Alligator mississippiensis: one gene and its partners. Each later gene encodes a partner of the first gene's protein in a complex. Links are inferred from orthologs where the notes say so. Each region holds a gene or a part of one and is shown in the gene's direction. Other genes may lie near its edges. The genes, in order: MED7, MED24, MED13L and MED16.

Region 1 (7,263 bases):
GTGGTGAGTCCTCACTGGCTGTCATTTGTCCACCCCAAGGCTCGTGGGTGCTACATTAATGCAATGGTTAATAAGACCGAGCTTCCAGCGGGGAATGTACAAACCCAGAGAGGGAGCTTGAATGCATGGGGGAAGTGAGCACTTCTCTTGACTCCCAAGATGACATTTATCCCTGGTACCTCTAGCTAAGGGTTAGCTTCTTCTCTGGAAACCCTGCAGAAAGGTCCTTCAGCCATTCGGGGTGCGTCGGCTGGTTCTTTCTTGCTCGTTCTCAGAATCGCCCATCTGGCTACCAGGAACGGGAGGGAAACCAATGTAATTCTTGAACTGGTATCTCTATCGCCTCGATCTTGGTGACTACGCTCCCCAGTGAGGAAAGTGACTCAAGAAGACCACAAAGAAGATCGGAGGCTGCATCTGCGTGGCCTCCTGAGTGAGATCAGGCAAGTCGCCAAGACACAAACCACAGATCTGTGGGTCTAGGCACGAGTGTCTCAGTGTGAGCGGCAGGGCTACAACCAAAGACCCGGCAACACTCAGCATCCACTCTCTTCTTGGTCAGCGTTGACTTTGATGGCTTGGCCATACACAGAGAATGGACGATGGCCATTTCCCCGAGGATTTCTTGCATGGAGAACCCTTTACAGGAAGGAGACCACACAGGCGTTCCTAATTTCCATTTCAAAGAGGCTCACAAGAGTGATATGAAGGCAATGAATGGTGAGCCAAATGACTGAGAGAAGACTGCTGAGGATGGAAGCACTTGGAGACAGCTTATTAAGTGTGCAATGAAAGCTTTTGAAGAAAGAAGAGCCCAACATGCAGAAGAAGAAACCTCAGGGAGGACCCACAGCATATTCAGGACCATTAGATACCAGCTTGACATGTGAGAAGCGCTGAAAGGACCGTGTCATTCAAGAATCGGGCTCTACGGCTACACTTGCAGATGTTTAACAAGCTCACTCAGTGCAAATCTGTTGTCTAGTGAGACAAACAGACACCCAGATAGGAGTCTTGTTCATAAACGTGTCCTAAAAGGCAACATGCTAGACTTCCCAACCAAGAGTTCTAGTTTTTTGTAAGACTCCCCAATAGGCAGGCAAGGTTCTTGAAGTGGTTGTGATATCTTTAATTAGACCAACTGAGTGATTATTAGACTCCCCAATATGCTTTGTGCAGTCAAAGCATGTGACAGCTCTGCCAAGAGGCTGTAGGAGACTCTCAGTACAAGGCTGTGTAAAATCAAACCCAACTTGCGTTGCAGTAGTGCAAAACCAGAAAGTCCCCCACGCTTGCACGGTGCTGTTGGTATCCCTCGGCAGGTCACTGGAGGAGGTGTATTTATTTCCCTTTTTTTCAACTTAAGATTTAGAAACAGTCTTCCTATCTCTGTGTTCTTAGGTGAGACGATGAGGTTTTTGACCGTGAAGTATTTTGCAACGGGCCGACTTTTCTCTGTGTGAAAGTTATTAGTTATTTGCACTGAAGTTGCACTCAGGGGCCCTCAGAGAGATGGGGAAAACTGTAGCGACTGTCTGGATAGCCAGCACTACATGCGCATAACAAGCAGCAGTCCCTGCCCTGAACAGCTTCAAGAGATGGTGAGAGACAAGAGATGGTGATGGATAAGAGAGGGTGAGAGAAGGGAAGCATTATTAGCTGCATTTTACAAATGAGGCAAAAGACCTCAGGAATCTTTCTGCCGATCCTGATGGCCCTGGCGCTAACCTGGAAAGAGTAATGGTAAAATCCTTTTCCACCTTCACATGCTGACGTGGCACTTAGGTAGCTGCATCTGCCACTTTTGGTGCATGTGCACACTTTGGATTGCACACGCCTCTGCTCTCCCTGCATTTCCCTTCTGCGTGTGCTCAGCAGGCTACACTGCGTGGGCATGTGTGTACTGCTGTGCAAGTACTGAAAACTGAGTGGTGGAAAACCCTGGGGGAAGGCAGATCCTCCCACCTTTTGGCTCAGTGGCCTTATAGTCAGGGCCCTGGCCTAAGGAACGTGATATCCGGGAACTAGACCTCCTGCACTCAATGGGATTGGCATCTTCAGCTCCTGCTTTCTAGCAAAGTGCTCTCACCCCCAGGCCACGGGCAAGGCATGGCCTTGAGCCTTCTCCAACCCCGCTCTTGAAACTGGTCCGCTTGGAGCCAGGAGCAGAAGGTGCCTAGGGCAGGAACAGGGAAACGAACCAGAGGATCAGGATCAATGAGACGGATGCCGTGCTGAATAGTAGCATGCCCTGGATTCTGCGATTACCCAATGAGTATTAAATACAAGGGCGGATAAGCCAACTTCAAGAGGCAGTGGGCAATGCCTTGTCTGTAGTCCAGGACCTTTGTTAAAGGCCTGTGGCAGAGCTGAGCATGGATCCCTTATCTCTTGGCACCAGACTGGTGCGTTATCCCCAGGACTGTGCTTCTTTGCATTGCAACCCCATGTTTCTCCTACATAGAGGTAGCTTGTAATAACCCAAACTCTTTTAATCCGCTTGATTCTTTCCACGCTGGTATTCAACTTGCTTTAGTGGTCTTGATATGTAGGCATGCAGTGGTGACTCTGGGCCACTTATGCTCCACTATTTCTGGTTTTATCGGAATTCACATGTGAAAACTCTCGCTTAAAAATAATGCCCTACATGACGCCTACACCTCAAAGCTGAGTGCAGGGCACAGCGAGCAGCAAGGGGGGGAAATGCTTGAAAAAACACCGTCAAACCACTCTTATCCTGTCACATGCTTTTTTCTGCATCAGGTTGCCCACCATGGCTGCCCATAAAAATTCTTGTGTGCAGAAAAAAGCTTTCTGTACCCGGCTGCCTAAGTCTGAACCTCCTGTCTGGCAACGATACCATCAGTGACGTTATACTGTCACTTGGGCAGTGGTTTTGTATGAGGAAGACTGAATTAACTCACATTGCCGGATGTCAAAAGATCCAGCACGGCCGGCCCTCTCTCCAATATTGCCAGTAGGCAAGAGAAGGTGAAAAATGTCATCGAGATATGGGAACCTCAGACTTTGCTCCTTTGAAACTGGACACAATTAATCACCAGCTGTCTTTGGGACAAAATAACTGTGATTTGGGGCCTGGTGTCTTACCAAAGAAAGGGAACATTTGAGCCCAGATTTGACAAAAGAGCACGTAATTAAACATTCAAGCAGTGCTGCCAGGACAAGCCTTTATTTGGCAATATGTTTCTGGGAAATGAGCTGGACAGGAACCGCAGATGAAGCAGATAACGTGATTGCCATCACTACTGTATATGGTGGCGGCAGCACTTGAAGGGCTGAATGATGACAGAAAACAAGGGCACCGCTTGTAGTGACAACACACACTTCCTTGGAAACTTCTCCGAAGCCGAAAGGCTGCGCCGTCTTCGTTCTCATGGTGCCCGGGCTCTTGCAGCGCCCGTCGGGGCATGATCTGAGCCCCTGCAGTCACAAAGCCAAGCTTTAAAAAGTATCCCCAGGCTCCAAGGAGAAATGGATCGCAGGTCAAGCTGCCGGCACCGTATCATAACCACCGCTGCTCTTGCCTCTGCGTTCGGTCTGGAGGATATCAGCAAACTGGACGGGCAAAAACATTTTTATGTGAAATGAATCCCTATTTTATTTTTCATCTCTTGCAACTGAAATAATTAACATTTACAAACGACATTGCTGCCCGTGCCGACTTTTCCAAATATTTTTTTTAGGAAGGGGCAGTCAATTAAACAGGCTGCAAATGGGCGTCGTTGGGAGAAGCCAGGTTTGTTTGGCCCTATTCTTTTATTCCTCTGGGTAGCGGGTCCAGTCCCTTCTTGCTGGTTTATTCTCAGGGATTTCTTAGGGCGATCTCTTTTATTGGATCCAATAAAAGATATCATTAACTCTTGAACTAAATTCCACTTCCTCCCCCCACCAACATCTGGAGGAGCAAGTGCCCCCCCCGCCAACATCTGGACAACCAACTCCCCCTACACCCACATCTCAATAACCAACTCTTCCCCCCCCCAACATCTGGATGACCAACTCCCCCTGCCCTCGCTAACATCTGGATGACCAACTGCCCCCCACACACCTGGATGACCAATGCCACAACATCTGGAGGAGCAACTGCCCCCCCCCCCCGGCCGTGCCAACATCTGGACAACCAACTCCCCCTACACTCACATCTCAATAATCAACTGTTTCCTCCCCCAACATCTGGATGACCAACTCCCTGCCCTCGCTAACATCTGGATGACCAACTATTCCCCCCCCCCCGCACACATCTGGATGATGAACACCCCTCTGAACATCTGGAGGACCAACTATGAGCCCAATTAAAGAGACAACCCTAGGAAACCAATTGATTCTGGTCAAACCAAAGCCGCTGCTGCCCTCTGCTGCCACGAGAGAGAACATGCCGTGGTGGCAGCCAGCAGGCGCCGGCGCTCAGAGGCCAGGGGTGCATGCTGGAGGCGCCCTCCATGCCCCCGGGGTGCTGGGGGGTCCCTGATGACGCCTGGCAGGCTGGGCTGCACGTCTCTGCACCGCTGCCCTGCCCGGGGGAAGAGCCGTGTCCCGCAGCCTGCCTGCAGCGGTGCTAAGGGACGCGCCCAAGGGCACACGGAGAGTCGGTGGCAGAGGGGTGCTCAGGGACGTGCCCAAGGTCACATGGGAGTCGGTGGCAGGCGGTGTAAAGGGACGTGCCCAAGGTCACATGAGGTGTCAGTGGCAGAGCCAGGGATCGCCCCTCCCCCTCCCCGCCGGGCATCACAAGGTGGGGCTGTACCGCACAACAGCCGGGCAAGGGCACGCCCCCCAGGTCAGGCCACTGCGCGTGCGCCGCACGCCCGGAAACTGTCGCCCGACGCGCTCCGGAAGCGGCGCGAGGGGGTGGGAACAGCGGGTGAGTGACGTGCGGGGCCACCAATGGAGTGGCCGGCCCTGAGCCACCTCAGCCAATCGGGGCGGAGCGGAAGTTGCGCCGCGGCGGCCGGAGGTGTGTGCAGCGGGCCCCGGGGCCGGAGCGGCGCCAGGACAGGGCGGCCTGAGCCCGGGCCGGGACGGGCCTGCCCACAGAGCTTGGCGGGGGCGGGGAGGTTCGTCCTCCAGATGTTGGTGGGGGCGGAGTTGCTCCTCCAGATGTCGGGGCTTGGTCCTCCAGATGTTGGCAGGGGGTCGTGGTGCCTCTGATGATGGGGGGGGGTTGGTCTCCCAAATGTGCGGGTTCGTCTCCCAGATGTTGGCTGGGAGGGGGGGGTTGGTGCCCCAGATGTTGGCTGGGAGCCCCAAGTGTTGGTTGGTGCCCCAGGTGTTGGCGGGGGGGTTGGTCTCCCAAATGTGGGGGTTTGTCCCCCAGATGTTGGCTGGGGGGGTTGGTCCCCCAGATGTTGCCTTCCTTCTGAGCGGGTCTGCTCCCCTCAGTGTACGTGTCCCCCGATCCCCCCTTATGGGATCACAAAGGTTTGGTTTGACCAGGATCCTGTGTCCACCCCAGCCTCGCCCCGTCCCTATTCTTGCATGACTTGTCCCAAGAACGGTTGCCGCACGTTTAATAACCCCCCGTAGAAACAGAGCGAGGTGAGGTGGTTTCCACGCGGGCGCTCGCCCAGCTCTGTGTGTGCATCACCGTGTGTCGTGTCCCCCCCCCCCCCGCCGCACTCGATGCATATTATTTATGTTTGTTGGTTTCTTCCAATTCTTCGAGAATAAAAACAAAGAAATAATGACATTTCTTTAAAGAACTATCAGGGTAAGAAAAGTGCACGTGTGCGAGAAGTAAATATCCCCTCCTTCCAACCTCTGAAAGGTGTTAATCTCTACGACCCGCGTCCTGGAGCATTTGACTTCCTGTCGGTTGCGTTACGTCCCGCTTGGTCTCAGGGGTATCGTCGGGTTTGTCCCTGTGTCGTGAACTCCTTTTTTCCAGTTGGTCTGAGCGGTGTTTTACGGGCTGTTTTTTACACCCCAGGCACTTCTCTGCCACCATGGGGGAACCGCAGCAAGTGAGCGCTCTGCCTCCACCTCCGATGCAATATATAAAGGAATATACAGATGAAAACATTCGCAAGGGGCTGGCCCCGAAGCCCCCGCCGCCCGTGAAAGACAGCTACATGATGTTTGGTAACCAATTCCAATGCGACGATCTTATTATCCGCCCCTTGGAAAGCCAAGGGATCGAACGGTTGCATCCCATGCAGTTTGATCACAAGAAGGAGCTCAGGAAACTCAATATGTCCATCCTGGTCAACTTCTTGGACCTCTTGGATATCTTGATAAGGAGTCCGGGCAGCATAAAACGAGAGGAGAAGCTGGAAGACTTGAAGCTGCTTTTTGTTCACGTCCATCATCTTATAAATGAGTATCGTCCGCACCAGGCCAGAGAGACGCTGCGGGTCATGATGGAAGTGCAGAAGCGTCAGCGTCTCGAGACGGCCGAGAGGTTTCAGAAGCATTTGGAGCGGGTTGTAGAAATGATCCAGAATTGCCTGACCTCCTTGCCTGATGACTTACCTCATTCTGAGGGAGGTTTGGGGATAAAAACTGAACCCATGGATACGGATGACGGCAGCAGTTGCATCGGGCAGAACGAACAGCAGAGAGCAGGCTCGGTCTGTAAGAAAGATCAGGTTTTAGACAAAGATGCGGCGATGTGTAGTATTATTGATGAAATGACATGAAAGGACGCTCTTTGTAGCGGGTGAGAAGTGGGATTAATATTGAAGCTTGTATAATGTACTTTTTGCTGCCTCTATCTGTACCAATAAAAACAATCGTGAAACTTAAGTGTGTGGGTATGTATAAATGTCTAAACTCACGTCTTTTTTTGTAGGGTTTTTTTGCAGGTGTTCAAGCAGATGGAGTTTGCTTGTGTTGTAGGTGTTATTTGCATGTGGTCGTAAGAACAGAAAAGTAAAAATTTCTATAATGTTTCATGTTGATGGGTGGGGAAAATGTGCATCATAGCAGTTCAGTGAAGTAAGGCTCATGTGATGGCTTTGTTTTACTTCTCAATAAATACTTTCATCTTTCAATCAAAACTATCTTGTGAATTTCTATAAAATGTAGGAGCAGAGGAAAGATGGAGAAATTACTGAATGCTCCAGATTCTGACCCATTTCTAAAACGTTGAAGGTACTTTACTTGCATTTCCACTATTTCTATTAAATGTTATATTCTGTTATAAACAACAGCTGATTACTGTCGGATCTATTAATAGTGGCTGCAAAAATCACTGTTTTTCCTCACATTGTAAAACATCTTAACAAATTTTATTTATCAGGGGAC
Region 2 (7,235 bases), on another chromosome or scaffold:
TCCTGCTTTTCTTGGTGGCAGAGCACGCCCCGCTCAGCACGTCTGCATTCCCTTGAGACAGGGAAGGGAACCAAGACAATCCCCAAACATCTGCCAGGTCTCCCCCCTTCTGATGGCCTCCTCCAGCCAGAGGGCTTGGCACAGAGATCTGTGCACCAGGTTGAGAAGGCGGTGCTCTTCTTTGAAAAGCCTGCCACTTGTCCTTGAGAACTAAAGATTTCTACCTCTCTGTGTGCTGTAAGTCCTACTGCAAATACAGTGACTATACAAGAGAACACTGCAATTAACCTTTTCCAATTTATCTCACAAAAAAGGCTCACAAACATTCCTTCCCACCCTTCCCTGCCTTCCCCCCACCCCACCTTTTTGCTACCCCTTGTCCTGCCCCTCACCTTCCCTCCTATACCCCAATGATATCTCATCCCTGTGGTTGCTATAGTGATTGTTTGCTGGGGGAAAGCTACATCTAGGGACTTATTACACATATTTAAGCATCTTTTAAAGGGGCCTAACAATTGGAAAGGAAAGGAGAAGGAGTTGAGGGAGTCAGGACTATATGCTCAGCCCACATCACACTTAGAAACATGTAGCCACATACTACAACATGCAAAGCTGTTACCAGTATCTGGCCAGCTCCCAGTGGGCCATGCTCTGACAATTGCTGATTGGAAGATCAATTGGGAAGCTCACAGGCTCTTCTAGCGGTGAGCTCCTGAGAACAGGAACAGCTTCCTGGACATTTGGAAAGAGCTTGGTGTGTGGCTGGCAGAACCATGAATCAATAAAGAAGATATTACTGAGCCATAGAAGCTGACTGTTTCTTAGAAGAAGCAGAGTCCCAGCCTCTCTGGCTGTGACCCCTCCCCATCCCACACCCACCCATCTCAGGATTCAGCCCTGTTCTCTTGTAAGTTGAAGGCAGGGTATATTTGTACCTTATATACCAGTAGTAGCTAAAGCCCCTGGTGGGGGTGAAGGATGTTTGCTGGTTGTAGGGCCACTTATAGTTCTGAACTGACTCACGGATTTGGACTTGATTTGGCTGATTTGGCTTGGAACACAAAAAAATTCTTAAAAAAAAAATCGTATAGACCAGTAGTTCTCACCCTTTTAGACTCAAGGCACCCTCCATAACTTCTGTGAATTGAGGGGTGCCCCATTTCAAAAGCTAATTTATTTATTACAGGGCTTACCTCCTTGCAGTGGGGACAGGGGGGCCACCAATCAGGAAAAGCCTGAGCCTGCCCTGATCTGCTTATCTCTTCACACTTCCCTAATCGCCTTACATTTCCTCTGGCACTCTTCAAAGGATCTGATGGCACTCCAGGGTGCCCCAGGACTCTGGTTACAAATCACTGTTCTAGACTAACTAAAGTAGACTCATCCATCAATCAATCTATTTATCTATTGCACAAACCTTTGTGAGCTGAAGTTTCATCAGCAGCTGATGAAGTGAGCAGCAGCCCTCAAAAGCATGTATTATATCTATATCTACTTTGGTTAGTCTAGAACAGTGGCTCTTAACCTTTTTAGATGTGTGGCACCCCTCATTTTTCCTAAGGCACCCTAGCTTTACTCAAGGCCCTCTCCATAACTTTTGTGAGCTGAGCAGCACCCTGTTTCAAAAATGAATGTCTCAATGGTGGCACTACTTCCTTGCTGAGGCGACAGGCAGTGGAGGCAGGGCAGTGGTCAGGCAGGGACCAGCCTGAACCTGCACATGTCTCCTCACACCTGTCTTGTCTCTTAACACCTTGCAGCACCCCTCAAAAGATCTTGTGACACCTCAGGGTACCCCAGCACCTTGGGTGAGAATCATTAGTCTATAACAGTGGTGGCCAACTTTTTTGCTCTGCAAGCCAGATGGTCAGTGCCAGGTCTGTCTGTGGGCCACATTCGGATGGTGGGCTAGATCCTGCATGCAGGGCTGGCCAAGTATGGTGTGCAGCCTGACCCTGATCTGATCACCCAAGGGGGTGGGGAATGAATGATTTGGCCCAAATCTGGATGTACAGGCTGGCAGGGAGCAGCCTGGCCGTGATCCAGACACGTGGATCAGGGCCAGGCTCCAAGCTGGCTCCAATCTGGACATGCACGAGGGCGGGGACACAGGGACTGGAAGCAGCTTGACCTATTCCAGACTGGTGGCGGGCAGGCCTAGCATGGATCCCACGGCATGGCAATGGCCTGGGCAGTGCTGGATCTGGCACCATTCTCTCACCACCAAATTCTCTGACCCATGGTGAAGCCAGGTGGCACAGCTCTGTACCCTGGATTTGGCCTGTGAGCTGGGGCTCAAGCACCCCTGGTTTCATAGTTTCATAGATGTTAGGGACCAGAAGGGAACTTACAGATCACTGGGTCCAATCCCCCTGCACTTGGGCAGGAAAGACTGCTGGGGTCAGATGACCCAGCAAGATGGGTGTCAAGGTGCTTTTTGAAGATTGCCAGGGTGGGTGACTGTACCACCTTTGGCGGGGAGCCTGTTCCAAACCCTTGGCACTCAACTTATAAAGAAGTTCTTCCTTACATACTGCCTGAAGTGGTCTTCAATCAGTTTATGCCCATTGTTTCTTGTCCTCCCCTGAAATGCCTTGGTGAACAGATGCTCCCTCAGGCCCTGATGTACCCCTAATATATTTATAGGCTGCCACCAAGTCCCCTCTGAGTCTTCTCTTTTCCAGGCTGAACAGTCCCAAGTCTTTCAGCCTCTCCTCATATGACCTGCCCTCTAGGCCTCTAATCATGCATGTGGCCCTCCTTTGGACTCTCTCAAGCTTCTCCACATCCTTCCTGAAGTGTGGTGCCCAGAACTGGTTGCAGTACTCCAGCTGTGGTCTCACCAAGGCCAAGTAGAGCAGGAGGATGACATCCTTAGCTTTACTCGAGATGCTTTGGTAGAGGCATGCCAGTGTTTGATTGGCTCTGCCAGCTACAGCACTGCATTGGTGGCTCATGTTCATTTTGTTGTCTATCACGACACCTAGGTCTCGTTCAGTTGTGGTGCTGGCAAGCGTAGCACTGCTTGTAAGTGTGTTGTGGATTATTTCTCCCCAGCTGGAGCACTTAACATTTTTCTGTATTAAACATCATCAGGTTGAGGTCCACCCACCTCACAAGCCTGTACAAGTCAGCCTGTAGTGAGCACTCCCCCATAGTGACCACACTCCCCCATAGTTTGGTGTCATCAGTGAACTTTGTCAGTTTGCTTTTAATACCTGAATCCAAATGAATGTGTTGAAAAAAAAGCACTGGCCTGAGTACTGAACCCAAAGAGGGCACCTGGGTTTGAGCCAAGGCATCTTGTTCTGCAGTCAGATACTCTACCACTGAGCTATACCCCCTCTACAAGCTGCATCAACCCATCCTTCCACCTGGCAACATTTGTGTCTGAAGGTCAGCGTTGCCAGGTCTTAAATATGAAATGATTGTATTGGAAGCTCAAAACTATTGTCTTTGCAGAAAAATGATTTTACACTGAAAAAAAATGCAAATAAAACTTATTTACTTCATATTGCTCACTATAACTTGCCAGTGAGTGAGGAAGCACTGGGTTGTTGAAGTTGGAGCATTTCTTTATTTCAAAGCAAGCAGTCATTAGGAGGTGCTGACAGCAAGTCCAGAAGTTGGCTTGGACTCTCTGATGTTGAGTTGGGTTTTACATGTGCTGCATCAATGAGCTGCCTCAAAAATTATAGTACGTTTGGAATGCTTCACTGTTATCAGTCACACATCCCTACAAGGGTTGAAATTATGGTACAAATATGATAATTACCATACCTCTGGCAGCACTGCAGGGGGTGGTGGCAGAGCTGGGTGACAGCAGGGAGCTTTCCTAGGCCCCGCTGCCCAGCCAGGAAGGAGGGGCAAGCTTTCTGGTGCCACACATCATAGGCGGCTGGTCAGGGGTGCACGTGCCCCCCCTCTGATGGGGCCGGTGCCCCCCTGACGGCCAACACTGATACTGTCGGTAGGGCTGGTGCCCCCCGACAGGGTTGGTGGCTTCTGCGGGTGCCCCCTCAGATTCAGGAGGCACCAGTCACTCATGCCACGGATTTCTAACTCTGCGGGGATTTTGGCGAAAAAATTAAATCCCTGCCGAGTTTTCCCCAGCCAACGTCCGCACCGCCCACTTCCCCCGCTGGCAGAGACAGCCCGGCTGCCTGCATTGGGGTCTGCCAGGCTCCGACCCCCCAAGAACCACAACTCCAAGGAGGCTCAGCGGCGCTCGAGCGTTCTTCCGGCCAATCAGGGGAGGTCTTGTTGGTAGGTGCTAAGATGGCGTAGTCCAGGGCCCGCAGGAGGTGTTTTCTCTGTGCTGCGCTGCTGGGGGGCTCGCAGGTGAGGGGTCCTCCTGGCATCCGACTGCGGAGGGAGGAGGGTGGCCCCCTTTCCTCCCCCCGCCTCGGGCTGGGAAGAGATATCGCCTGGCAGGAGCCTGCTTCCTCCCCGGGGGGTGAAGAGACCCAGGAGTTCGGGCCGGTCACTGCCTTGAGCGCCAGGCCCTGCCTGTTCCCGGTGGCTGGAAGTAGTTCCTAGGGACCCTGGCTTCACAGCTCCGAGTCTCCCCCACTCCCAATTCTCACCCCTGGAGCCTGTCCTTCCTCCCTCAGCTTGGGAGTGGGACTCAAGCCTCTCAGCTCAGCACTTGGACCAGCCAGCGCTGCCCCCTTGTAAGTGGTGCTGGTGGCATGAATAATAATGTAGGAGCTCATGCATGCGCCCTGGGAGAGGTGCAGGGGTGATGTCTTTCCCTGGGGGGCCCCAAGTGGGATGGTGAAAAATGCCTGCTCTGATGATGCTGCCAAACCTTTCCCCCTCTTGCTTTCAGACCTGAAGGATGAAGGTTGTCAATCTGAAGCAGGCCATTCTTCAGGCCTGGAAGGAACGGTGGAGCGATTACCAGTGGGCTATCAATATGAAGAAATTTTTCCCTAAAGGAGCCACGTGGGACATACTTAACCTGGCAGGTCAGGATTTAGCTTGTGTGTAGGTACAAATGTTTGTCTGTGGTACTTGCGCGCTTCCAAGCGAGGTGGATGCATGGTGAAGGAAAGCAAATTACGCAGTTGTAACATATTCCTAGTTATCTCTCCCACAGCTTTATCAGAACTGCAAAACTGTCCGGCAGCATCCTTTGGAAATGGAGGATGTGCTTGCTTTTCCCAGCAAAGGTGGGGTTGCAGCAGGTGTAGGCATACCTATGCTCCCTTGGGTAGCTGTGAGGATGTGGATACACAGGCAAGAAAGCTGCTCAGATATAACCCCGCCAGAGATGCCAGGGGTATGTTTCTGTTGCTACAAACGCAGGCTGCCAAATCTTTGCTACTGTTGCCCAAACTAAATAGCTTTCATTTTAGCCTGGGTATATAGCTGGCATTCAGTTGAAACGTAGGTATATCTTAAAGCTCTAGTCCTGAAAAGACTTATACATGTGCTAAGCCCTGCTGAATTCAGTGATATGCTAAAAATTAAGCGTTTAAATCTTTGTAGGATGGGAGAGCTGTCTCGTGATTACTCACTGCAATAACACCTGAGCTATTACAGATGTCAAGGGAGTCGGGGTAGGTTAGTGGATGGAGCACTGTAGTTCTAAGTAACCAGCTCTTGGTTACCTACGTGACTTTGGCCTGTTGCTTCCCCATCTGATGCCTAGCTATACAATGGGATAACACACCCAAGGATGAAAAGTGCTATATAAAAATGACATTTTTGGGGTTTTTTTTAATGGGAGCATCTTCTAACCCACAGATGTTATTAGCATTTATTTTCTGCATCTCTATTCAAGAAAGGGGGCTGCCACAAATCCTGCCAAATGTTGTTGCCTACTTGAGTATACATAGCTAAAGATTTGCCAGGCTCTTATGCCAATTATAGTAACTTGTTGCTAGGTTTTCTCCTATAAGCATGCATTGGGAAGATTTATATAAATAAATATAAAGCACTTGGTCCTGGACTGATTTGAAGGGGAGGTTTTTAAAGGGTAAAAATCCCTATTTAAACCGACATTAAGACTGAAATAGAGCATCCTTGTTGTTCTGATGGTTGGATCTCCTGTATCATGATCTCCTGTATCCTGAAATCCTATCTTCCCTCCATACCAATTTAATCGCCTTGGTCTTTTCTTTCTCCAGTGGAGGGGGTGGGGGTTCTTTTTCACTTGATACCTGTTTTCACTTGCTTTCAAAAATTCTTTATTGATGCATTAATATAGGACCCCTGGAACTGATTGGACACTTAACAGTGGGAGGATTATTCCTTCTCATCAGAGGCTAGAATAAAATCAGGATTTTGAAAGCAACAGCCAGGTCCTGAGGGCAATGCATCAATGAGAAGTCCAGTTTGCCCCTGCTGGGAAGTGTGAGGGTCCTAGGATTTTTACTGTGGTGCCATGCTTGGGTGTTTCTGAAGTGTGACACTTCTGTAATATCAGCTTCTATTTAGAGGGTGTGTGCTGTTAAATTTGAAGCCTCACCTGGCTTGCTTGCTGGGATGGAAAGCCATTTCCACTCTTTTTTCCTTGGATTTCCACAGCAGATGCAAGACCCAGTTGGGAAGTAATACATCTGCTATTCCATCCCTTCCCTGACGTGGAGAATGTGTTCCTTTGCTACAATATCTCCCTGTCTCTCTTAGGTATAATTCCTTTTCTTGGTTTGCTAAAATCTTTCTTAGGGGACAAATTTTTGCAATCAAAACTGACCAGAGTCCTGTTTTTCTGAGAGGCACTGGCACAGACTGCAGGCTTTAGCAAATAAACAGCATCAACTACTTTTTCGAAAGTTTTCTTCACAATCCTAGTGACTTGAAATGGGATGTTTATAAACAAAGGTGCAGAAATATGTCATTTAGTGCTTCCACCAAGTCCAGGGTCACTATTGAATGCTTCTGCTCAGCTGTGGGTAACAGACCTTTCAAGTTGTGTGTGAACTGGATCTTGCTATACAAAAGAATACACAGGTTACACGTCCATAACCCAGAGTAACAGCTGCTGTGATGGGATCCCTTTAGATATAATTGTGCTACAATTCGTTTCTATGCCAAGTTGTACTGTGATATATGCTTTATCTCCTTGCCACTCCCACACATTGTACATTCCTCATTCCAGGCTTCTACTCCTCTTTGCGGGCTTGTTTCCTGCCTCCACTCCTTTGTCTGCATTTTAGCCTCTTAGATAAGCTTTTATTAATATTATGCAGGCCCCCATTTCTCTGTAAAGCATTCAACACAGATTG
Region 3 (7,821 bases), on another chromosome or scaffold:
CCCACCTTTCTTCAACAGTTTCACTTGCTCTTGCATTGGCACAATTTGATAGTGCAGCATGAGTGGAAATTGCTAACTGAGTTTTCTCTTTTTCCATGCAGAGTTTCAAAACATTGATACATCAGTTTGTTTTCGGAGCAACCTTCTGTCTAGGAGTGTGAATCCTGATGTTCAGTTTAGTACAGATAAGCTGGTGATCTGTACAGCATTCTGCGCCTTGCATAGCCCTGGTAATGTAAACATCCCTCAGGTATTGCTATGAGTGATGACATAGTCTAGAAGGTGCCATTGTTTTGACTGAGGGTGCTACCAAAAGTAGAACCACTTTTCTGGCATGCTGAAAATGGTGTTTGTAACAGCAAGGTCAAACTCTGTGCAGAGTGTTAGGAGTAATTCTTCATTTGTGTTTAGAGACCCATGTCCAAATTTCCCCATGAATGTTCCAAGTGGCATAGTCATCTCCAGTGTGTGTATTGAAATCACCCAGTAGTAGGATTTTATCATTGTTGAAGGTATTTCTTAGAGTGTCACTCAGCTGTCTTCATTTCTTTGAAAGCAAGTAGTGTTGGGGTGTAGGTGTTATTATGGCCATAGAGTTGTTATGGGACAGTGGTATCAGGAATGTCATTAAGTGCTTGGATATTGACACAGTTTGATGTGATCATTTATTAGCAATGGAGTTTGCTATTGTGAATCCTACCCAATGTAGGCCGGTGTTTTGGCCTGCCTTGTAACCTGACAAGTAGAAAGTGTGTTCTTTTTCTCTAAGCACACTGCTGTCATGTAGTCTAGTCTTGGATAAGGCAGTGATATCTATTTGATACCTGTGTAGCTCCTTTGCTATTAATGCAGTTCTTCTACAAGCTCGATTTTCCTTTTAGTGTATGAATGTTCCAGCATCCAATTGTCAGTTTCTGTCTGTTTTTGTTTCTCCCACTTAAAAAGGAGATCCCGCTGATCATAGGAAACCAGCCAGGAGTTGGTGAGAGGTGAGCCTTTTTTACCCCAACTTTTATTGGGGCCTCCTTGGATTGAGGCAGGTGGTGCCTCCCTAATTAGGGCCACCTGGTTGCCTAGGTAGGACCTCATGTTCCCATCACCAAGAGAGAGTCATGCAACCATCACACCTAAGCCACTCATGTGGAGATCATAGGCTACCTGCTTCCAGCTGTTCAGGTTTGTCAGCACTGCCTAGGAAATTCTCACCATGACTGTTTGGTGAAGAGTTTGTGGATGATGATGGTGAATACCTCAGCCCACCCCTAACCCCTTCCATTGTTGCCGCCTGAGGGACTGACGCAGGATGATGCAGCAGTGGTGGGGGGAGAAGCAGGCCAGATGTGGTTTGAGGGAATAGTGGGCGCGCCGCAGCAGTGGCAGTGGGGGGAGGGGAGGGGAGGAGTGGGCCCGGGCCTCACGTGGTGGGGAGGAGGACCAAGCCCAAGCTGGGGGAGAAGCTGGCCCACGCGGTGGGGGGAGCAGTGGGCCTAGGCTGCCACAGCGGTGAGAGGGAACAGGATGTGCGGGCTTGGAGCTGACAGTGGGGGGAGGAAGGGGGTGGGGTAGAAATGGGCCCGGGCCCAAGGAGGGGAAGAGGCTCATTTCTCCCCTTTCTCAGCTGCTACCATGTCGGGCTGGGCCCACTGCTCCTGCCCACCGCTGTGGTGGGCGGGCTTCTCCTCAAGCTCACCCAGGCCCACTTCTCCCTGCCCCCTCCCTCCTCCCCATTGGCTCTGAGCCCACTCCTCCTGTTCCCCTGCCACCGCTGGGTCGGCCCAGGCCTGCTGCCCCCCCCCTCCACGGCAGGCCGGCTTCTCCCCACCCTTGAGCCTGGTTCTCCCTTGCATTGGGCCAAGGCCCACTCCTCCCCTCCCCCTGCGGCGGGGAGGGAGAGATGGTGGGGAAGAGGGGTGGGAGGGGAATGGGAAGGGGGGTTACTTGGGCCAAGGCCCACTCCTCCCCTCCCCACTGTGGCGGGGAGGGAGAGATGGTGGGGAAGAGGGGTGGGAGGGGAATGGGGGTTACTTGTGGCTGTGTCCCGCCATGGTGGCAGCCGTCACTGAAGCAGCAGAGGAGATGTGGGGAGTGGCCGTGTCCCTGCCCTGGCACGAGGCAGCTGAATGCAGGCCTCTGTCCTCCTCCCCTGTCATTTTTGATGGGCAATTTACTAGTCTAATATTATAAAAGCCTTAGTTTGTCTGTCTGTCTGTTTATAACGCTTTATTTGTGACCTGATTGGCTGTCTCAGCAGCCAATCAGAATGCTCTGGACAGACAGGACAGAGAGTGGAGTGCCACCATGGCAGTGAGGGCTGGGGGCGAGGGGCCAGGCCAATGGAGCTAGCGTGGTCCCCCCTGCCCCACTCCTTGGAGGCAGAGGGGGATGGTGGGGATGGAGCCGGATGGCCTCACCCCACCAATCTGCTCCTTGGAGCTAGGGGCCAGAGCACCCCCCCGTCACCCCGCAACAAGATCCAGCAGGGAGACGGGGGGGAGGAGAGGAAGCAGGCCTGCCATGGCGGGGCGGGGGGGCAATGGGGTTGGGCCCGCAGCAGGGGGCAGGGGAAGAAGGGGGAGTGGTCCTTCTTCCCCCGAACCCAAACTGCTGGGGGAGGGGGGGGGGGACAGAGTTGAGCCTGAAGGGGGCGGGGCCAGACTAGTGCGGTGGGGGGCAGGGACGGGAGCACAGGGCCAAATGCTGACCTCCATCCCCACCTCCCCCCATCATTTTTGATGGGCAATTTGCTAGTAGCAGTAGTAATAATAATAATTATAATTATTATTATTATTAGTTTTTCAGGTTCTTCAGGGAGGATGGAATAGAACTGATGCTTAACTCCACTTACGCAGGATGGCGGGGGGGAATCATCCTAATAGGTGGAATAGAATCTGACCCCAGGGATCTAAAGTCTATCCAGAGCAGTGCATTTGTACAGTTTGGACAGGGCTGTTGTGCCAGTATATGGCTCCAGATTTACTACAACGAAACAGGTCTTCTTACTAATTCTGTTCTGTCAGTGTAATAAAATACTAGCTCCTGCTGATTACAACTATTTGCAAAGAAAAGTAAGCGATGAAAAATATTATTTAAAAACGTGAAGAAAGCTCTTGTTTTCACCAAATAGGATAAAAAAATCTGCTTTTGTACTACATCAGATAGTTTAAAATGTGTTGTATGTTTTTTCTATTTGTTATTCAATATTGACTTTAATTGCTAGGCAAATTTAAATTAATTTTACTTTTTAAATGGCGATTTTCCATTTGTTAATGAGAAGTCTAGGTAGTTCAGCTTTATTCTACATGGCTAAGTCAGTTTCCTACTTGAAAGTTTCAAAGGGACGCTGTCAACTTTAGCATTTTACATACAGTTCTTTATTCATGTTGCAAAACATACATTAAAGTAGAAATAAATATTTTCATTAAAATGAAGTAATATTAACTATAGCTATTTGTTGCTATTTGATTACTTTTTTGAGTGTTTTTCCCCTAGGACAATGAATACAATTGTGCTCAGTTTCACTTGTTTATAGTCAGCTTTACTTTCAGGTATAGTTAATTTGAGGGAATGTGTATTGTTAAAGATAGGCAAATGTTTGTTTTAAGAGCTGTTTCAAGTCGAACAAAACAAACATGTATGAGGTAAGATTCTTTATATCAGTCTAAAAAGCATCCTAAAAGTGTGGGACAATTTGATTTAGCTTTTTAACATGGCAATCTCCATGGAAACTATAATGTTAAAAGGAATAACTTAATTCTAAATTACTTTTTGCATTTTTTAAATTTATAAATACACTTACTGCTAAATATTTTGTTTTGCTTTCTAAGATATAGCAAAGTACTGGTATGCCCTGTACGTCACATTTAAAGCAATGAGTGATTCGGTTCCCCTTCCAGCTACTCTTCCGGTGCCAGCAATATAGTCGAAAGGGCCCTGGCAATTTATTTATTCGTTTTTGTTTGCGTCTGGATGGACATTATCATCGTTTTGTGCTGGAGGATGGACAAGCGCAGTTATTCACTCTTAACATGGGATCTTTCACTCTGCAGCAAGTGACAGCAAGTTTGGGGTCTCTAAGCCACCCAATAATAAAATGTATCAAGCGATTTGCCTGCAGGTAATATTGCTAGCAAGGCGGATGCCACGGTTTGTTTTTTACGAAGCACCTTGCGCTCTCCCCAGAGGGCTGGGTATCGCGCCAGTCGTCAGCACTGAGGCAGGGGAGGTTTGCAAAAACTCGGATCGTCCAGACTTGTGCCCAAGCTGCCACTTTTGGGTAGCCACTGCAACGGGGAGATGCCTCTGGTTATAATGGAAGGGCACGGATTCATTTGGGTGATTTTCTTTTCCTGGACCAGCGCCCTGGTTGGGATGAAGTCAGACAGGTTTTGGCCTGGAAACCACCTCCTGCAGGCCTCCAAGGTGAGCAGGGCAAGGGGAGGCTCTAGGAAGAGGGGGCCTGGTCCACCTGCCCGAGATCCAGGGCCCGCCCCGGCTCCCACCGAGCAGCAGCCCCTGCTCCAGCTGGAGGCGGCGCCGCTGGAAGCCGCTGCCCCGAGCCCGCCGGGCGGCCCCGCCCCCGAGCCCGTTGCTGACTCCGCAGCACCCCCAGCGGAGCCTCGGGACTGCGCAGGGGGGGCGGGAGCCGGAGCGCTGCCCCCCTCCCGTCGGAACGCGTCACGTGGGGCCGCGGCGGCCAATGGCGAGGCGCGCTGGGCCTGGCGGCCGCCATTGCTGTCAGAGCGGAGAGAGGCGGCGGCCGGGCGTGCGGCGGAGCGGGCAGCGGCGGCGGCGCCGGGCGGGCAGCGCTGCGCGAGGGCGGCGGGGACGGGCGGGGACAGCGCGCGCGCTCTGGCCGGGGGCCGCCGCCAGCCGCCCGCAGCCCCCGGGGCCCCGCGCGGGGCGTAAACAAGGCGGCGGCGGCGGCAGCGGCGGCAGGAAAGCAGCGCCCGCCCACCGCCAGCGGCGGCAGCAGCGAGGGCGGCCGGGTCGGGCCGGGCCGGGACACGGCCTCCGCCGCCCGCCGCGTCCTGCCGGGGCCGCTCCACGCCGGCCGCCCAACCTGGCCGCGGGCGGGCCCCCCCCGGCGGTGCTGACGGCGCGGCCCCCGGCGGCTCGGGGTGTCGGTCGCGGCGCGCAGCGCGGGCCCCCGAGCGCCCCCGGGCGGCGCAGCGCCCCCTGCCGGCCCCGCCTGCGCCGCCGAGCCCGGGGCAGGACCGGGACCGGGACCAGGACCGGGACCAGGACCAGGACCAGCACCGCGGCGGCCGCCCCCGTGAGCCGCCCCGCCCCGCCCCGCCCCACCGGGCCCGTCTCTTCAGACATGCCCCGCTCCGGCGGCCGGGCTCGCCGAGGATCATGACTGCGGCGGCCAACTGGGTGGCGAACGGGGCCAGCCTGGAGGACTGTCACTCCAACCTCTTCTCGCTGGTGAGTGCCTGGCGCGGGCGGGGGGCGAGCCCGGCCCGACCACACCCGGCCCGGCCCCGGCGCACAACGCGCTGCTCGGCGGGCGACGACGCTCCAACTTCGCGGCTCGGCTGCCGCTGCCAGGGGGCTTTATATCCCGGCCGGCGCGGCGCGGCGGCTCCTCCGCAAGCCCCTCCCCCGGCTCCGCTCCGTGTTTGTTTTGCTCTCCGACGTCGGGGTCGCGAGCGCGTGTCCCCTCCCCGGCGGGGGGGGCGGGGGCGCAGCCGGTCCTCTGCCCGTGCCCGCGGGGAGCAGCCCCCGCCGCCTCTGCCCGCCTGCCCCGGCGCTTCGCGCCTCCCAAACTGCGTGTGCGCTCATGTCTCTGCTCCCCCCTCTCGGAGCGGCAAACGCCATTTCAGCAGCAAGCAGTTGCGCGCAGCGATTACGTGCAGGGTGGGCACCCTGGGCTCCGGCCGCTGGACGCGCCAGCTGTCCTGCTGGGGCCGCAGCTCTGTCCCCATCCCACAGCTCAAAGGAGAGGAGCGGGGACAACACCTCCTCACTTTTTTTGTTTCCTAAGGGAAGCGCTCGCTGGGAGTGTGGTGGGCTGGGTATCTTGCTAAAACAGATGCTGTCTTCTCATCTTGCTGGTAACTGGCAACTTTCACTCTGTTTTTGATGGCAGGGTTTAATTTTGCAGCAGTTATTGTATCAATTCTTCATAGTGAGACACTCAGCTAATTGCAGATCCTTAAAGAGAGTAAGAGCTGTCGCTTCTTTGTTTCAGTGATGGTTCACTTCAAAATGCCTTTTCCCCTCCTTGTCCCAGATACCTTGTCCCTGCTTGCTGGAGAGCAGACCTAAGGGTTCTCCCTTAGTCATTCAGCTAGGAGCTTCCCACACTGATACCTGGAGCAAGTAGGAAGCGAAGTGGGGCTTCATTAGAGTCTGCAGTTGGGTTGAGCTAAAACAATAGCTAGTAATGGGAGGTTGGGAACAGCCTTCTGGAGGAATGTGTGGGGAGGAAGAGCGCAAAATGTGAGAGTCGAAAGTCTCACTTCTGGAGAGGCAGGGAAGGAATGTTGAGCAGGTGGTGATGCTGGTTTGTTTTTTGTTTTGTCTTTGTTCCCAGTTCATGTGCGTATGTGTCTTCATTTTCTAAAATCCTTGGTTCAGGGGTAGGGATGTGTAAGTGACTAAGAACCGTGTCATTTCTAAGTTGTATAAATGGCATAGTATCAGACGTGTTTTGGGGCTGTTGGTTGTACCTGTGCTGATCTAAGGACGTAGGCAGACAAGGTTCTTTGGGTAAATGCCGTATCTTTTATTAGGCCAACCATTACTTGGTTTAATAAAAGATATTGATCGCATTTACCCAAAGAACCTTGTCCACCTAAGTATATTAGGCATACTTTCATTCACTTCTCTTCATCTTAATTTGGAGTGTCTCTCACATTTGATGTATCTTGAATTTATTAAGAATGTAACTCTTTGGGGCAGAAGTCTTATTTACCTATGCACGTGTACAGCATATATTGTGTTGGGGTGCTGAGCCTGTCATGGCTTTTGGGTGGCCCCGTAATACAAACTAAAAAGCTCTTGGCTTTTGCATTTGTTCCATAGTTGTGAAAATGGTTACACTGTTAAAAAAATAAAATTGCATTTACAGAGTTTTTTCCCTGAACCATGATAGTGTGTATGTGGCTGTGCGTGTGCAGATGTAGCAGTGATTCGTATAGATCAGTTTTGCATATGGAGACAAGCTAGCCATTAAATACAGGATAAATAACTATTAGAACTGTTAGCAGTAAGTTAATAAACAGTATCTTTAAAAAAAGAGGATTATTCAGGTTTTTTAATAGGAACCTGAGCATATTTTAGGAAGTTGTTAGCATGGCATAACTTCTTGTGTAGTGTTATACTCGGTGCTAATCGCTACTAAAATAGTTTTTGGCATATGATATTTTAAACTATAAAGTTATAAGATTCAGAGATCTCCTCCTTCCCCAAGAGTTTACCATTTATACTGATAAACATCTATTGAGCAGTAAGTTTTTAATATGTATGCAGAATATCAATGAAAAAATTGAAAATTCTTCATCTCTCATTCCTGTTAATCATCTATAAATTCTGCAGAGCCAGAAAATATTGCCCTTAATTTGTCTTATAAAACTACCTTAACAACTTCACTTGCTAGTGGCTTTTGTGTGGCTGTGGTATCAAGTAACTTCTAAGCAGTGATTTGCAGATTAATGTCTTAATTAAGAAATTATGCTTTCCTACGTATTTTGTGTTAACTTCACTTGAAATGTCAAGGAACTGACAAGACTCAACTATTTTTTTTGTAAACAAGTTAATTAACTGTGGTAAAGTCATGTTTGTTTTAGACTCTTATCGTGTCAGAGAACAAATGTG
Region 4 (7,840 bases), on another chromosome or scaffold:
GCTGCGTCTGGGGGGTGGTCCTCCGAGGAGGAGGATTTCTCTCCTCCATTTACATTTTGCAAATAGGTGGGGGGACGTCCCTGCATCAGTGATGCTGTCTGGGACGGGGGCAGCTGTGAGAGCCTGTGATTAGTTTTTTGTGCCTCTCTTTTTCCCTCTCCCAGGGCAAGCACTCCTAAAGCCAGAGCAGCCCTGTGGAAAGCCTCTGCCCCGGCACTTGCCTCCCCGTGCCCGTCCAGAGCCAAACACTTGCCTCTTCAGGGGTCTGGGTCTTGCCGTAGCCAAACGGCCCCGAGCACTGCCTTCCTCCAGCTAAAGGCTCATCTCCAGGGTTAGGTCCCAGGGGAAGGGGGTCTGTTTTAGCTCTCGTGGCAGCTCTGGGGGGACGGGCTGGGTGTTGGCACCAGCCCCGTCCCATCGCTTCTCCCTGCAGCCTGGCACCGAAGCTGGGCTGCAGCAGCTGAAGCGTCAATGCAGAGAGCAGCGAGATTTAATGCCAAGGGCTGGCTTTCTCTGCAGGGCAGGGCTCCCATCCTTTTTAAATGTAATATAGCGTGTCCTTTTTTTATACATATTTGTGTGTGCGTGATTTAACTCGGGCCCCGGCTGCCCCGCCGCTCCCAAGGTGGCTGGAGCTCAGCGTTGCAGCTCCGCCACCCTGGGCAGCTGGGCGCGCCGGGGCACGGGAGTGTTTCGTGCTGTGGTGCTGTGTGAAATGGGCTTGGTTTCCAGCGCTGTAGGGCTGCAGACTGTGCCGCCTGTGGTTTTTTTAACGTGTACGCTCTGTGGGGTTTTTGTGCGTGTGTCTGTGTATCAAGGGCTTCTCTTCGGTGTATATAGCAGCTGGTTTGAAAGGGACGCGCTGGGCTCGGGGTGCTGCTGCCTTGCACTTGTGTGCGTCACTGCTCACGGCTGTACAAAAGCCTCGTGCATGCCCGTGCCGGGGGGGAGCTGGGGTGGGTCGAGGATGGGGGGTCGTGGTGCTTCTTGCGCTGGGTGATGGATGGGGTTTGCTGCCTTTGCTGGGATCGCTCCCGATTCACCCTGGGTGCGAGCAGGATTGGGGAGAGCAGGGCCGTGTCACACTTCACCACCACGGCATCGAGCGCTGGGGGCAAGGAGGACTTGCTCCCCCAGCAGCGGGGAGCGAATCGGGCCCTTTTATAGCATCTTCTGCTCCGATCAAATCCTCCCGAAGGCCCAGCTCTCCCATGGGTCCCCATCACTGGTGCCTCCTCCTTCCACCTCTGCCCTCTTGGCAAGCCAAAGTGATCTTCGTGGCCCCGCCAGCGTCCCGTGCAGCCGAGCGCACACTGGGGCCTGCGGCGTGTGGCCCGTGGTTGTGTCGTTGCTTCGGGAGCATGGCATCACGATTTCCTTCCTCTTAAATGTGTTCGATGCCCCGAATCCAGCTCCAGCTCTTGCCACTGCTCCTTTTGCTGGTTGCTGTGGGGGGCTGGGCTGGGGAAGGCGAGGACACGTACAGAGCCGGGAGGCATCTGCACGAGAACAATAAACCATGGTGCTCCGGACTCCCTGTGTCCGCGTCTCTGTTGGGGGGCGCAGCCGTCGGTGTCCGTCCCCGGGGGGCTTCCAGCAGGAGACGGTGGGGTGCAACGCGGGAGCCTGGGAGCTGGTTGAGCTCAAATGTCTCCCACGTGTTTGTCCCTCTGCGCTGCAGCTTGTGGGACGGAGGAGAGGGTTTCTATCCCTTGCAGCCCTTGGCCCCAGTTCTTGCCTTGTCCGTTAGCAAGTCTCCTGCCTCCCAAACTCTGGATGCTTCAGGTGGTCCCAGATCCAGGCCCCGCAGGCCTTGGAGGTTGGATGCCCCCTTGTCTTGTTTGCCACCAGCCAAAAGGCCAAGCTGGGAAGCCCAAAAGCAATCCCACCGCTGTCCCCATAAACTGCACAGCTGAGCTCCTTGCACTTGGAGGCAGTCGGAGACTCTGGCAGGGATCAGCAAGGGACAGGCCTCACCTGTACCTGTGCCACGGCCTTCGAAACCGAGACGAAGGGGAAGTAAGAGCCACCGGGGCTGAAAGCATCTCCCCTGCCAGGTGCCGGGGGCTGCGGGAGGCTTCCTGCCCTGCAATTGCTTTTCAATAAGAGGCTGCGTGACCGCCAGGTGCACGTGGGCAGGAGACGGCCGCTCTCCAGCACATCTTAAGATTTCATAGATTCATAGACATTCGGGCTGGAAGGGACCTCGGAAGATCATCGAGTCCAGCCCCCCGCCCAAAGGGCAGGACGTCAGCTGGGGTCATAGGATCCCAGCAAGATAAGCATCCAGTTTCATCTTGAAGGTGTTCAATGAAGGTGCTTGAACCACCTCCGGCGGCAGGCTGTTCCAGACCTTGGGGGCTCGGACAGTAAAGAAATTCTTCCTTATGTCCAGCCTGAAACGATCTTGTAGTAGTTTGTGATCATTCGTCCTCGTCATCCCTTGGGGCGCTCTGGTGAACAGACGTTCCCCCAGATACTGGTGGTCACCCCTGATAAACTTGTAGGTGGCCACCAGATCACCCCTGAGCCTGCGCTTTTCCAGGCTAAAGAGCCCCAGGGCTCTCAGCCTGTCATCGTAGGGTCTGCTTCCCTGACCTCTGATCATGCGCGTGGCTCTTCTCTGGACTCTCTCAAGCTTCTCCACATCCTTTTTGAATTGTGGAGCCCAAAACTGGACGCAGTACTCCAGCTGCGGCCTCACCAAGGCCGAGTACAGGGGGAGAATGACGTCCCAGGATTTGCTTGAGAAGCATCTATGGATGCAAGCCAGCGTTTTGGTCGCTTTACCAGCCGCAGCATCGCATTGCCGGCTCATGTTCATCTTGTGGTCAATGATGACCCCCAAGTCTCTTTCTTCCATAGTGCTAGCCAACATAGCACTGCCGAGCCTATAAGGATGCTGCGGGTTTTTCTTCCCAAGGTGGAGAACCTTGCATTTATCGGCGTTGAACACCATCAGGTTCTCATCCGCCCACTTGCTGAGCCTGTCCAGGTCAGCCTGGATCATCCGCCTGTCTTCTGGTGTGGATGCTTTGCCCCAAAGTTTGGTGTCATCGGCGAACTTGGCCAGTCCACTTCTGACTCCAATGTCCACATCATTAATGAAGATGTTGAACAGTGTGGGTCCAAGGACAGAGCCCTGGGGGACCCCACTGGTCACAGGACACCAAGAGGACTGGCTTCCTTCAACCACCCCTCTCTGGGTCCCACCATGGAGCCAGTTCCCCAGCCAGCAGATTGTGGTGGACCCAAGGTCACAGTTAGCCAGTTTTGCCAAGAGGTGATCATGGGACACCAGATTGAAGGCTTGTTGAAGTCAAGATATATGACATCAATCTCTTCCCCCTTGTCCAGGTGATAGGTCACCTGGTCGTAGAAGGAAATGAGATTGGTCAAGCAAGACCTACCCGCAACAAACCCGTGCTGGCTATCCCTTAAGATGTTGGCGTCGGCCAGTCCATTAAGGATGGCCTCTTTAATAAACTTTTCTAAGATCTTCCCCGGGATAGAAGTCAGGCTGATGGGCCTATAGTTAGCCGGATCCACTTTCCTCCCTTTCTTGAAGATAGGCACTGCATTGGCCAAGGGGTTCAGCTGTGCAGTTTATGGGGACAGCGGTGGGATTGCTTTTGGGCTTCCCAGCTTGACCTTTTGGCTGGTGGCAAACAAGACAAGGGGGCATCCCCTTGTTGGCACGTGGGACTGCAATGAGCATTTTGCTCCAGCTTCAGTTTGTGCCAACTGGAAAACCCCACGTGGAAGAGGCAGGACGTGGACATGGGAGGGAAAAGGGGCTGGGGTTGGGGTGCCTAATGCCCCCAGGCCCAAGCTGGCTTGGATGGGAGACCCCCAAGAAAACAGATGTGCTGCACCCACAAGCATGCCAGGCGCCTGCTGGGCTGAGGCAGGCACAGTGGCACGTAACCTTCCTCCATGAGGACCTCCAGGGGAGAAGAAATGAAGCCCCTCGTGCCCTCTACCTGCTTTCCCATGGGTGGTACCGCTCCCGGCCTTGCAAAAGCATGCACAGGAGCCCTTGCCCCGTGCCCCTTCCTGCCACCTGGGGCAGCTGCCCTGCACCCTGGCAGCAGGGCCAGGGGCTGGGTAGACCTGCCCTCCCAGGGGCACCGTGGGCTTCTGGGAAGCCCAGCGCAGTTTGCTAGGCTGTGCACTAGGCAGCGCTACTGGGGCTTACTGGGAGGGGGCGTTTCCTTCCAGCCCCCACATGGCAAAGGGGCTCGGGGTGGGGGTCCCGCTGCAGCTGCAAGGGAGAGCAAAACTATGGGCCCAAGGGAATGCACAAAGCGGAACATTGGGAGAGCAAACTATGGACCCGAGAGGAGCAAAATATGGAACGCTTCACGAATTTGCGTGTCATCCTTGCGCAGGGGCCATGCTAATCTTCTCTGTATCGTTCCAATTTTAGTATATGTGCTGCCGAAGCGAGCACGAATGTCCCTTCTCCCAGATCGATATTTATACCTCATAGTTATTCATACTTTTACTCTTATGGTGATTAACTATAGCACGTTACGGAGTATAATTAGATGAATGATTCATGAAAAATACTGTATGATGCAGATACTTTTTTAATTTCTAAGTTATTTGTGGTAAAATCTTAGGAAACTTCCACTTTTCCAGCGCCGGCGATGCGAGGGATTCTGGGAGAGGGAGCTTGTATACAAATCAACACCCGGCCCGGAGCGCAGCCTGATATAGAAAGACCCCGACTTGGGGGCGTCCGCAACGATGCCTGCGCGCGCGGCTCCGAAACCGCCTGCGGCTTGAGCCGAACAGCCCTCCCGCCGAGGAGCCTCCCTCTCCCCCCCTCGCCGAGGGCTCCGTCTCGGCCCTGAGTTGCACGTTTGGCTCAGGCGCAGCGCGGGCAGCCCTGCCGGGGGCCTTCGTCAGCCAGCGGCGAAGGAGCGCTGGGGTGGGGGTGGGGGTGAGTCCTGCGCGGGGGGAGGGGAGGCAAGGGGGGGGGCTGTGGGGGGCTCCAGTCGCCCCTTGGGGAGGGGAGGGGGCTCTGGCTACCCTGGGGGCAGCTCCAGTTGCCCCTGGGGGGCATTTCAGTTGCCCCTGATTGGGGGGAGGCTCTGGTTGTCCCCTGGAGGAGTGGGGGATGGGCCTCTGGCTGCCCTGGGTGGGGTGGGGAGGGCTCTAGTTGCCCCTGGGTGGGGTGGGGGGCACTCTAGTTGCCCCTGGGGGAGGGGGGGGCACTCCATTTACCCCTGGGGGGCACCCCTGGCTGCACATTGGGGGGGCGCTTTGGCTGCCCTGTGTCCGGGCCAGGGGTTGCTGGTGGGGGGCGATGCTGACGGCGTTGGCGGAGGCAGCGAGCCCCCCCTTCCATCTCCCTGAAAGGCAGGTATTCGGCGAGGTCTTGGGGCAGGACCCGAGGCGTTTTTAAGGATTCCCGAGTCGTGCGAGATGCAAAAAGCCTGAACTCGTGGTGCAGAGATGACACCGTTCTTGGACCAACCGAGACCGTGCCAGAAAGCATGTCAATAGTGCCAGGCATTCGCCCCTCCGCTGGCCCTGCCCAGTGCGACCCTCTCGGTATTTGGGGGCCCTGGCTCAGCGCAGCGCGTTTCCTTTGGAAAGCAGCTGCTACTTTATAAAGCAGCTTTCCAGCGATGGGCCCGGGTCTCCTGAGCGGGGTGAAACGGGGGGAGAGAGTCCGACAGCAGAGAACAGCGATTCTTCTCTTCCATAGGCACCAAAGTCCATGACTAGACGTCGCGAAGGCGAGCGGTGCCTTGGACGCCTTCCCGAGGCAGCATGGACTTGGCTTACATCTGCGAGTGGGAGAAGAGGCCCAAAAGCAACCACTGCCCTTCAATCCCACTGGTTTGTGCTTGGTCCTGCAGGAACCTGATCGCCTTCACGACAGACCTCAAAAATGAAGAGGAAAAAGGTAGGGCAAAATTGTGTGTTTTCCTCTTTTCCTGAACGATGTCTTACAATGGGAATTTTCCACGAGGAAGAGCGGTGTCCTGTTGTAGTCCCCCCTAGCATTGCTTCTAGCTGGGGATAAAGCATTCAGAAAGGTGCTTTAGCGAATCCCAAAGTGATTTAAGAGTATAAGTCTCACTGGCTTTGATTGCCCGGTGGTTGCGTGAGAGGGTTGTTTGCACATCTTATTTATTCTCCTTGCTGGTTGTGGACGAGGTTTTTTGGGTCGATGCGATATCTAAACGAAAGAGCTGGAAGAATTGTTCTTTGCACCTAAACTAAATAGTTGGAAAAATTGTTCTTTGCAAGCTTTTGAGCAAAAAAACCACCCTTTTCCGGGCACAGGGAGAGTCTGTTGGTGTTTTGTGTGCTCCTCTGGGTAGACAGCACGCTTGTTATCAAGAGTTGGGACAAGCAGGTGTCAGTGGCTGCTGCGGTGGATGCGACAGCAGCAATGTTTCATCCTATCACAGTGAATGAAAATGACTTTGGCATTTGCTGTTTAGTCTCCTCCATGGCACGGGTCTCTTGCTTCTGCTGCCTTCCAATGAAGCAAGGTGCTTCCTGGCTGAAGTGACAAGTTTTCCCCTTTTCTGTGGTTCAACAGGCAGGAGCAAATGCAGCGGAAAGGATTGGGGATTCATCTCCAGGCACCATTGATTTATTGCTTGTGACCTTAATTCTGTTGTCAGATCCACATGGATGGAACCGGGTGCCACTGGTTTCAGGGAGTTGAGGGGTCTGACTGCAGGGGTTCAGTGCAGAGTCAGAGCCTGCTTAAATTGTTCTCAATAGGACATGTTATCCTGTTGTTTTGGGGAATAACCAAGCCTCTCACCTTGTGAGACTCGCACGCTGGGCTTCTCGACAAGCAGGCTGCAGCCAGAAAACGTAGGCAGAGAGGTTTTCTAGGGTAGTGGTGGATTTCCCGTCTCTTGATCACTTTAGGTCAAAATCGGATGCCTTTCTAGAGGCTGTGCCTTAGTCGCCTGGAACCGTGCTCAATACAAGGGGAACCGGGCAAAGTTCTGTGGCCTGTAGTACACGGGCAGCTAGGACTTGTGCGGTCATGGGCCCTGCTGGCTCTGACATCAGTGAGTCCTAGTGCAAACAGTGTGGGAGATTTAGGTTCTTTCTCTTTTCCTCTCCGCAAAACATCATAGTCATTTCATACACCAGGGCAGTGACTCTCAGCCTCTTTTATAATCAAGGGCTCCTCTTCCCAGGCTGGAAGTGCCTTGCTCCTTCAGCTGGTTTTATTAAAGATACTGCTTGCAGAATGGGAGGTGGTTTTGATTTCCACCCCTCCAGCACTTTCACAATCCTGAGATTGAGAAACGCCAGCTAAGGAGCTGTAGACAGTTAATTCTTTGGAGCAGTGAGTGGCTCGTTTGGTACATCAGGTAAGGAAGCCTGTGTATATGTGTTGCTGTAGAAATGAGGGAAGCTGTTGCTGGTGTCCTGCTCTGAGAGTTGTCACAGTTTAAAAACCTGCAGTGGAGGTTACCTGGAACTGACCTTGTGTGTTTTCTTCCTAGATCTCACCCACATGGTCCATATCATCGACACAGAGCATCCATGGGACGTTTATTCCATTAACTCTGGGCACGTTGAAATTATCACCTGCTTAGAATGGGATCAGTCAGGTAAGCACTGCTCAAACAGCGTTTATTTCCCTGGCTTCACAACATTGCAGAGTGTGGTGAGATGCCAGGAGGAGGGTTTGGACAGACTTCTCCTTTGCCTCCCACTCTCTGTGGCCCTGTGCATGGATCTGGTCAGCTGGGTCTGCACTGATTGCTGTGCTTCTCACCCCTTCCAGATTCAAAGGAGTTATGGTTTTATTTTAACCATCAGTGATTAGCTGTACAGCTGCCAGCAA

The links.
Region 2: MED7 (region 1) and MED24 share a complex: the UniProt entries of both Homo sapiens proteins name them as parts of the mediator complex. The link is inferred for Alligator mississippiensis from reciprocal best matches to the Homo sapiens genes MED7 and MED24.
Region 3: MED7 (region 1) and MED13L share a complex: the UniProt entries of both Homo sapiens proteins name them as parts of the mediator complex. The link is inferred for Alligator mississippiensis from reciprocal best matches to the Homo sapiens genes MED7 and MED13L.
Region 4: MED7 (region 1) and MED16 share a complex: the UniProt entries of both Homo sapiens proteins name them as parts of the mediator complex. The link is inferred for Alligator mississippiensis from reciprocal best matches to the Homo sapiens genes MED7 and MED16.

The regions. Positions count from the first base shown.
Region 1 is NC_081832.1:77,826,290-77,833,552, reverse strand, and holds MED7 (mediator of RNA polymerase II transcription subunit 7), read left to right. Parts: upstream 1-4,920; 5' UTR 4,921-4,975; intron 4,976-4,989; exon of another isoform or gene 4,990-5,075; intron 5,076-5,947; 5' UTR 5,948-5,963; coding exon 5,964-6,656; 3' UTR 6,657-6,762; downstream 6,763-7,263. UniProt on the Homo sapiens protein: Component of the Mediator complex, a coactivator involved in the regulated transcription of nearly all RNA polymerase II-dependent genes.
Region 2 is NC_081827.1:164,760,145-164,767,379, forward strand, and holds the start of MED24 (mediator of RNA polymerase II transcription subunit 24), read left to right. Parts: upstream 1-4,234; 5' UTR 4,235-4,341; intron 4,342-4,378; exon of another isoform or gene 4,379-4,673; intron 4,674-4,831; 5' UTR 4,832-4,840; coding exon 4,841-4,970; intron 4,971-7,235. UniProt on the Homo sapiens protein: Component of the Mediator complex, a coactivator involved in the regulated transcription of nearly all RNA polymerase II-dependent genes.
Region 3 is NC_081833.1:23,709,642-23,717,462, forward strand, and holds the start of MED13L (mediator of RNA polymerase II transcription subunit 13-like), read left to right. Parts: upstream 1-4,804; 5' UTR 4,805-5,355; coding exon 5,356-5,427; intron 5,428-7,821. UniProt on the Homo sapiens protein: Component of the Mediator complex, a coactivator involved in the regulated transcription of nearly all RNA polymerase II-dependent genes.
Region 4 is NC_081839.1:3,217,727-3,225,566, forward strand, and holds the start of MED16 (mediator of RNA polymerase II transcription subunit 16), read left to right. Parts: upstream 1-4,837; 5' UTR 4,838-4,948; intron 4,949-5,251; exon of another isoform or gene 5,252-5,562; intron 5,563-5,719; 5' UTR 5,720-5,784; coding exon 5,785-5,920; intron 5,921-7,496; coding exon 7,497-7,604; intron 7,605-7,840. UniProt on the Homo sapiens protein: Component of the Mediator complex, a coactivator involved in the regulated transcription of nearly all RNA polymerase II-dependent genes.